Linked DNA regions of Cricetulus griseus. The protein of the gene in region 2 purifies or fractionates together with the protein of the main gene of each other region. This does not show direct contact. Links are inferred from orthologs where the notes say so. Each region holds a gene or a part of one and is shown on either strand. Other genes may lie near its edges.

The links.
Region 1: the proteins of Rprd1b (region 2) and DNA-directed RNA polymerase II subunit RPB11-a purify together in Homo sapiens (affinity purification with mass spectrometry; 3 studies listed by BioGRID and IntAct, counting the BioPlex papers as one, with this or other methods). This does not show direct contact. The link is inferred for Cricetulus griseus from reciprocal best matches to the Homo sapiens genes RPRD1B and POLR2J.

Annotation. Positions count from the first base shown.
Region 1 is NC_048597.1:115,110,865-115,115,403, reverse strand, and holds the start of DNA-directed RNA polymerase II subunit RPB11-a, read right to left. Parts: upstream 2,949-4,539; 5' UTR 2,845-2,948; coding exon 2,792-2,844; intron 1,194-2,791; coding exon 1,104-1,193; intron 1-1,103. UniProt on the Homo sapiens protein: Core component of RNA polymerase II (Pol II), a DNA-dependent RNA polymerase which synthesizes mRNA precursors and many functional non-coding RNAs using the four ribonucleoside triphosphates as substrates.
Region 2 is NC_048599.1:21,544,769-21,549,173, reverse strand, and holds the start of Rprd1b (regulation of nuclear pre-mRNA domain-containing protein 1B), read left to right. Parts: upstream 1-1,405; 5' UTR 1,406-1,762; coding exon 1,763-1,913; intron 1,914-2,885; exon of another isoform or gene 2,886-3,016; intron 3,017-4,405. UniProt on the Homo sapiens protein: Interacts with phosphorylated C-terminal heptapeptide repeat domain (CTD) of the largest RNA polymerase II subunit POLR2A, and participates in dephosphorylation of the CTD by RPAP2. Transcriptional regulator which enhances expression of CCND1.

The DNA.
Region 1 (4,539 bases), on a different chromosome or scaffold from region 2:
TTCCAGTGCCTCCGGCAGGTGGCACACAATTCACAACTCCAGCTCCACGGATCCAACACCCTCTTCTAGCCCTACTCAGACACTACATTCACAATATATTTTTTGGTTTTTCCAGACAGGGTTTCCTTAACAGTCCTGGCTATCCTGGAACTCAATGTAGGCCAAGCTGGCTTTGAACTTACAGAGATCTGCCTGCTGTGGTTAAAGGCACAAACCACCAGACCCAGCACATTACATGCAGGGAAGGCTGGAGAACTGGATTAGTTAAAAGGTTTCCAGCACCCATGTGGCATCTAACCACCTGTACCTCCAGCTCCAAGGGATCTAGTTCTTTCTGACCTTCATGGGTAACAGACACACGGTAGACATACATAGGCAAAAGGTGTTTTAAATTTAAAGAAAGTATTGCTCTTGGAGAGGAGCCAGAGTCAATTCCCAGCACTCATGTCAGGTGGGGACCGTCTGTCACCCCCCCAGCTCTGAAAGCACTGGCAATCACCCAGTAACAAAAGTTTGGTAATCTGCCGATGCCTGCAGCTTTCTATCAAATGTAGGGGTAAGTGAGGTGACACTGCTGGCCCCCTTTGCTTTATCTTTTTGAGATACTGTATGTAACTGGCTGTCCTAGAGCTTACTATGTAGACCAGGCTGGCTCTGAACTCACAAGTACTCCATCTGCCTCTGCCTCCCGAGTGCTGGAATTACAGGTGTGTACCACCATACCCATCACCTCTTAGCATCTTGATGCCCACTAAAATGAAAACCTGCTTTGCTGGAGTCCCCTGAACTTGATCTTGGCCAAAAGACCAAGAGGCAACTGCAAACTTATACACTACATGAATGAGCCAACAGGAAGCTGATGTGTTACGTGTTACGTGGCCAGGATCCCGGCAACCATGGTAAGGTGAGTCAGTTTGAGTCCAGTCTACACTACATGAACCCCTACATCAAAAAGCCAACAAAAGCAAGCCGCATGTGAACAGACCTGTCAGTGACAGGTTAAAGTGCCAGCAAGCTGCGGAGAGACGGAAGGAACCGTCCCAGGGCATGTGCTCAGCCTACAGAGCTCTGGTGACACTCGAGGCCTCTGGCCTGGGACTTACGATTTGATGATGTTCCCCAGAGTGTGGTCTTCTTTGTTGATGGTGAACAGGCAAGCATTGGGCACCTTTGTGTCCTTGTTAATGGTGATTCTACAATGAGACAGGCAAAGGCTGAGGGTGATAGCTTTCCCTGGCCCCACATCCAGCTCTTGTGATGCTGACACTGATTCTCAAATCGGTGTCCCCTTTGTGATCAAACATTCTAGAAACTGCAGTTGGGCTGTTCCCACTACCCCAGAAACAAAAACATCCAGCTCTTTCCCTCATACAAATTGGTTGTCTTAAACTAGCTCTTGACTAAATTCTTTCCTAGAAGACAGAAAACAGCTTGTCTCCAAACCCCCTAACAATTCAAGGGAGGCCATCATTCTGCAAGTCCCACTATCCCCAGTCTGCTCGCCCCAAAGGGCTCTCTGAGAGCTCTGGCATGGTTCAATGGGTCACCATTTATCTCAAATTTTTAAGGCTCTGGGTTTCATCCTACCACTCACTCCCCCTCCAAACAAAACAAGCAAGGTAGGCCTGCTGGGACTAGTCACTGGGACTAGTAATCCCAGTGACGGGGGCAGGAGGGCAGAGAAAAACACTGTCATCCTTGCCTTCCTTGACAGACCATGCTGGCTGACTCCTATCTACACTTCCACGTCCCTGGAGGAGCAATGAAGTAGGCACATTGCACAGCTTTGACACGGCTTCTGGAGATCCACACCAATCCTCAGCAAATGCTTTGAGCTGTGACCCACTGAGCCATCTCCCCAGCCTAGCAAATGTTGGGCAGGGGGAGCTGGAGTGAGCCAGGCAGTGGTGGAGCACACCTTTGATCCAGCGCTTGGGAGGCAGAGGCAGGAGGATCTCTGTGACTTCGAAGCCAGCCTGCACTACAGAGCGAGTTCCAGGACAGCCAGAGCAACACAGAGGAAACCCTGTTTTGAAAAACCAAAAGAAAACTACAAAAAAAAAAAAAAAGCTCGAGTGTAGCTTATTGATAGAGCAGTAACCTAGCATGGGCCAGACCCTGGGTCCAGTCCCCAGCATGACCAAAACAAAAAAACAAGGAACCTTCTCTACTCCGTGATGGCACCTTATCTATACACACCAAGGACCCTTTCCCACACAGGATTGCTCCTTTTTTCTTTTTCAGAACGGGATTTCTCTTGGTCCTGGAACTACCTCTATAGACCAGGCTGGCCTTGAACTCAGAGATCCGTCTGCCTGTGCCTCCTGAGTGCGTCATTAAACCGTCGAGTCCTGAAATTCTTTCTAGTGTTGAAGCCACGAACCTGAGTTTGGCCGAGATCCCTGAAAATCTAGAGGAAATCCTCAGGCTGCTGAGGAGTGTGAGAGGGTAGCTGTGTCTCGGTCCCTTCACCGCTACCATCATTATCCTCCTGCCTCAGTCGCCAAGTCCTGGAATCACAGGCGATCGCACCCTATGCAGGGGGGTGAGCTCTAAAGCCATCGCTGCGCAGCATGGATAATGGGGCTGCAGACCAGTGAAAAGGGAGCCTGACACTCTGAGTTCGAATACAGTCCCCGACACTTCCTAAGTGTCTGGAGCAAGGGCTCGACGTGCCCCGGCCTCAGTTTCCCCGCTGTAACACAGGCGTACATCGCACCACCGCCTGAAGTTCGGCAGACGCGCACGAAGCACAGTGCTCACCGCGCCAGAGCTAACGGCCTCCACTTACTTCTTCTCGCCCTCGAAGAGCAAGAACGACTCGAAGGCCGGAGGAGCGTTCATCCTAGAGGTGCGCTCCGGCTCCCAGACTCAAGCCGCAGCCGCCGTTACCACACTGAGCTCCGGACCGCGACCACTTCCGGGTCACGAGGACACAGCCAATCAAAGCCCCTGGCCCCGCGCCCCCTGGTGGACCGGATGACCTTCGGCAGGCACGAGCAGGCGAGGCGGAGCAGGTTAGAAATCCTGTCCAAACCCCAGGGGCAGCACCTCCCAGCACAGGAGGCAGAGCCAAGCGGATCTCTGTGGTTTCGAGGACAGCCTAGTCTACAGAGTGAGTGCCAGGATAGGCTTCAAAACAACACAGAGAAACCCTGTCTTGAAAACAAAACAAACAAAAAGAAAAAAAAAAAAGTGGCTTTCACCAGGCGGCTCTTTGGCGCATATTCCAGCGAGGGAAGGCTGGGCCACCTGCAACTGGCTCACTGAGCTGGAATCCAAGCTGTGTATGTGTATGAGCTGCTGCTGCAGGACCCCGGCTGGCTGGATGAGGAGCAGGAAGGTGTGTAAAAGTGACAGGGTGCCAGCGGATCCTCTGTTGGACACACAGGTAACCAAAAAACAATGACAGCCTGGCACCTCTCTGCTTTTCAGCCGTCTTTGTGGCTATTGTGGCTATTTTTCCTATTTTTAAAGATTTCTATCTGCCTGTCTGTGCAGAACGTACATACAGGAGCCTTTGGAGACCAGCCTTGGAGGTGCTGGGAACCCAACTCTAGTCCTGAAAGAGTAGTCAGTCTTTAACTGCTGAGCTATTTCTCCAGCCTCCATGATGGTTCATTTTGTCAACCTGATGAGATTTAGTATCATTGTGGAAACAGACAAGTGGGCCAGCAGGACAGTCCAGTGGGTAAAGATAGTGTCACCAAGCCTGACTACATGAGTTCAATCCCCAGGACCCATGTGGGAGAAGTTGAGAACCAATTCCTCTGACCTCCCTGTGTACACACAATGTATATACAAACAAAACAAAACAAAAACTTCTGAGTGTGTTGGTGAGATTCTAGACAGGTTTAACTGAGGAAGGAAGGACTCACCATTAAGGACTCACCATTAAGGACTCACCACGTGCATGATGCCATCCTAGAGGCTAAGCCCTCAGACTGAATAAAAGAGGAAAGGAAACCATCTTGTTCTGCTTCCTGGATGCAGGTGGCAATGTGATCAGCTGCCTGGCACTCCTGTTGCTATGACATCCCAACCCTTCCTGAGGATGCTTCTGTCGGGTTTGTAGACACAGCAACAGGAACAATAACTCAGTCTCCTAGTCTTTGGAGTAACAGGTATGAGCCAGCCTAGCCATTGGTACATGAGCACTAAAACTTCACTGTATAACATGGAAGATGGCAGTGCCACCAGGGGACAAGTGAAGACAATGCCAGGTGCCAGAGGGCTTTGGAACCCTTCAAACACCAATCACATCATGCTCCCCCTTGCTCTGCATATTGACTTGTTATCCCTGGAGTGTCTACCTAAGGACCATTGATACCTAGCCCAGCTCATCCTCCTTCAAGGCAGAAGGCACAAAGATAATGCAGGCATCTTCCTCGGCTTTTATGTCTCCTTTCAAACTCAGAAGAAGAAGGGGGAGGAAGAGCAGGAAGTCATCCAAGGTTCTCCAGTCACAGCCCTAAGCTTGTAGTCACCTTTGATTCTAGGAAAAGCAGAGCTTTGAAGGCAGATTACCCCATGAGGAGG
Region 2 (4,405 bases):
GGTGCTGACTTTTATGTTAATTCATTCAATCAGCTATGAACTCAGCTTTGATCCCAGATGCTGGGACACACTAGGATACACTCTCTTCACTCAGATCTTAGCTATGTGATCTTGGAACTTACATGCTCACTATACTTCTCTAACCGTCTGTTTTCATTTGTTAAACCATGAGACTTTGAAAAATGTCTAGCACATAGCAATTTCTCACTGTGCTAGCTATGATCGTGATGTAGTCCAGGTGAGGGGGTCAAAGCATGTACACTTAGAACAAAGCAAATAAGAAAACCAGGTGCCGGGCGTTGGTGGGGCATGCCTTTAATCCCAGCACTAGGGAGGCAGAGGCAGCCGGATCTCTGTGAGTGTGAGTCAGCCTGGTCTCCAGAGCGAGTGCCAGGATAGGCTCCAAAGCCACTCAGAGAAACCCTGTCTCAAAAAACAAAACAAAAAAAAAAAGAAAAGAAAAAAGAAAAGAAGAAGAAAAAATAAAAACCAGGAATGTCTTCTAGTCTGGGATGGGCCTACAAATAAGTTTAACAACGATCAGGGAAATTGTACATTTTTTTTTGTGTGTGTGTGTGGGGGGGGGGTACACGCACTGAGACCAGAGGAGGATGTCAGATGTCCTGCTCAATCACTCTCCATCTTATTCCTTTGAGATCGGGTCTTTCGCTGAGCCTGGAGTTAAGCTGGCAACTAGAAAACTCCAGCGATCTTCCTGCCTCAGCCCCACAGCACTGGAGTTACAGACCTGGTCCACCAACCTGGGCTTTTTAATGACTGTTAGGATGGAACTCAGGTCCTCATTCTGGCAGAGCCAGCCCTCTTCTTACCTTTTGAGCCATTTCTCCACATCCCTCAATTTTTTTTTCTTTTTAAAAAGGTCAATACAACAGAAGATATAGTTCCATGACTTAAGTAGGCGGCTGATCCAGAGCCTAGCAACCAGGTGAGAAAAGGGTCCTCACTTCAGAAGACAGAACAAGAGCCAACGTGGAGGGAGGGCTGCAAAGGGTACGTGTCTTGAAGGACCCAGAGGAGCGCGCCCGGGGGAGTGGTGGGTGGGGGAGGGGTGTGTGAGCCAGGCACGGAGGGGCAGCGTGGCCTGGGCCAGCCACCTGAGCGACGCGGCCCTTCCCACACCCGGGCCCCGCGCTTTCTGCCTCAGTGTCCCCTCAGGATCCGCTTCTGGACGCTTCTAAACTGCCGAACTACCTCTCGCTCCCGCCACTCTTACCTCGTCTTCCAGTCTTTCCCTCACTCTCCCGCCTCCTGTACCTAGCCGGAAGTGACGAGTAAGTAGAGCGCCGCGCGGCGCCAGAAAGGTTCTGCGGGAGCGGGAGAAAGGGCTCCCGTGAGGCTTACTACGCCGGCGCGCGGGCGCGAGCGGTTAAAGCGCCTTTCGGCGTCCGAGGATCTGGGGTTGTTTCCTCGGCCTGCCCCCTTCGAAGTCTCTTGAGCGAGGCCGAAAGAGGCTGCTCCCTTCCCAAGGATCGTTTTCCTCCGGCTCCGAAGCCTCTCGGCGCCCGGCTGTGGCCCTTGCCCTTTGACCCCGTGGCGGCGGGGTGAGAGGTCGGGTGGCCATCTTGTGGCGGCGGCGCGGGTGGCTGTTACTGCGGAGACCTGTCCCCTCCCCCAGTCTGATACCCCTAGCTGTCTGTCAGTCGGCGGAGAGCCCCGCAGCCTGTCAGGGGAGGCCTGGGCCGAGTGCGGTCGATCTCCCCGTCTCACCGGGTGGCCCAGGCCGCTCCTCACCGTCGCCACCATGTCCTCCTTCTCAGAGTCAGCGCTGGAAAAGAAGCTTTCAGAGCTGAGCAACTCTCAGCAGAGCGTGCAGACCCTGTCCCTGTGGCTCATCCACCACCGCAAGCACGCAGGACCTATCGTCTCCGTGTGGCACCGCGAGCTCCGCAAAGGTGATCACCCCCAACCTTGGGCTCTCCCATGGGTGTGTTCCCCAGGCGTCTCTAGCTGCTTATTAATTAAGCCTTGCTTATGCAGGCCTGGGTCTCTGCGATTGGAGACAGTGTTATTGCATTGCTTGGAGAGGGAAACTGAGGCCCAGTAAGATGTAAGATACTCATCTGAGGTTCCAAGGGCTCAGATGTCCAGACTTGGAGTTAATTAAGCTGCTTTTCTTCTCAGGCTCCCCCTCACATTTGGCGACAGTTGTGTTTTTGTTTTGTTTTTAAATTTTGGCTGTTCTTGGAGCTTGGAGCATTACGCACCAGACCCTGTTACGGGCATTTGGAGTAAGATCCAGCGTTCTCTACAATGAGACCTGGTGCAAACAACTTTCTAGCTAAGTAATATTGGGCATGTCTCTTAATATCCCTAGGTCTGTGTATTCTTACCTGTAAAATGGACACAAAGTTAGTTGTACTTACAAAAAAGCCTTTACTCCATGTCAGTCACTATCCATAGACTTCAGAACAGCCCTGTAAACTGGGTAGCCTTCTGCACTTGCCAGTAAATTCAGACTCGCAGAATCTGATGTTCATTGAGTGAGCTCTGCCTGTTACTTTCCAGGCCCCGTGTTGGACTCTTAATAGCAAGTTATCTCTGGCATCTATTTGGAAGTTAAGCCTGTCTTTGCCACTTACCCCAACAGCTTAACCTCTGTGCTCTTTGTGTTTCCTTCTTTAGAAAATGGAGATGGTAATAATTTGTATTGCCGTGGCTTTATCATATGCCACTGTATGTAGGTTGCTTTTGTTTTTGCTTCAGGACAGGGCCTCACTATTTATTCTGCACTGGCCTGGAACTCCCTACGTAGACCATGTTGGCCTCAGAGATCCATCTGCTTCTGCCTCCCAAATGCTGGGATTAACAGCATGTGCCACTATACTCCATGGTTCTTTTTGTTGTTTTGTTCTTTTAATTCTCAGGGCGTTTTGAAGTAGGAACCTTGAAGATGGGAAACCCCAGGGTTCGACAAAGCCGATTGAGATAAGAAGCCAGGATAATCCAGTAAACATTTAGTGTGCTGTAGGCACAGTGCAGGCTTGCAGTAGAAATGGTGAGTTAGGACTATTGATTGCCCCGTGTTCGACTTGGTCTTTGCCTTCAGGTGGCTGCACTTGGGGTGGAGCAGTGAGCATAGCACATACAATGCTAACTCACATTGTGCTGAGGAAGTGTAGTGGAAAGTAACTCCATGTGTGTCTCTACTCTCTGAGGTAGGTAGCACCCTTTGTTGTAGATGAGGAAACTGAAGTGGATGATGGTATATTCAAGGGCTTTGAACTAGAGAGGCTATGCAGGCACCAGAATCCTGGATTTTTTTTTTTTTTTTTTTTTTTTTTCAGGAATCTAGACTCTAGGTCTCTTGCAGAACCTCCCAGTTATGATTTGCTATACTGAGATAGGAATCCCTTCAGCTCTCTGGAGCAGTTAGGTAGAGCCTGGGGTGCCCAGTCTGCTGTACCAGACTGTGTATCTACAACATCTGGGGAGATATGAGAAAACTGCCAGTGACCTCTGCTGAATTCTGTTTGGTAGAATCTCCTGATCATCTTGAAATTGTAGGCCCATCTCAACTTTCTTTTGCGAACCCTTCTCAGTTCCTTACTGTACCCTGTTTGAGTTCTTGAAAAATAGTAATCTAGAGAATACTTTCATTGCTGAAGCTTCTTTATCTCTAATCTTACCTGATAGAATCTTTTGTAGCAAGTAGGCTGGCATTCCTGTCCCCATTTTATAGATACAGCAAGATCAGTGGCTTGTTCAGGGGTCTGTAGCTAGGACATGCACCCAAGGAGGACTGATATCCAAGACTTGGACCTTTTCAAGTCCCTAGTGGTATTAATGAGTGAAGGTGGGCTGAGTGCAGCTAGCTCTCCTCTGTGGAATATTCTCTCCCGTCCCATCCCATCCCGTCCTTTACCTTTACTTCATTCTTGGTTAGTCTTTTTCACTAGGTTTGTTTTAATCAAGGCCTTCTAATGTGCTTAGAATTTGTCTATTACCTAGTTAAAAATTAGTTTAGTAGTTTAGTTGTGCCTCTGATGTTTTCATATTTGAGTTAAAGATCTAAGCAGCATTGCTTCAGCTATCTGTGGCAGTCTCGGTATTGTAGTATGTGTTTTCCACAGGGTAGCCACTTACTACATGTGGATATTGGCCATTTAAAATGGTGACAAAGGAACTATACTTTTGAATAAAATGATTAAGTTCCCCAGTTTTATTTGCTCAGTCAAATGTTGACTGTCCACCCATGGCTGATGGCTACCAGATTGGATCTTGCAGAACTGGAGTTCTTCCTCAAGCATTGAGGTGTGTGTTCATCTTCTACCCAGTTTCCCTTGTGAACTGAAAATGTCCCCAAACTAAAGTAGAAAGCGGTTTGTGCTCTGGTGTTGAAACTGACTAGTCCCCTGCATTCTAGCTCACCCTGAGTTTTTAAAAA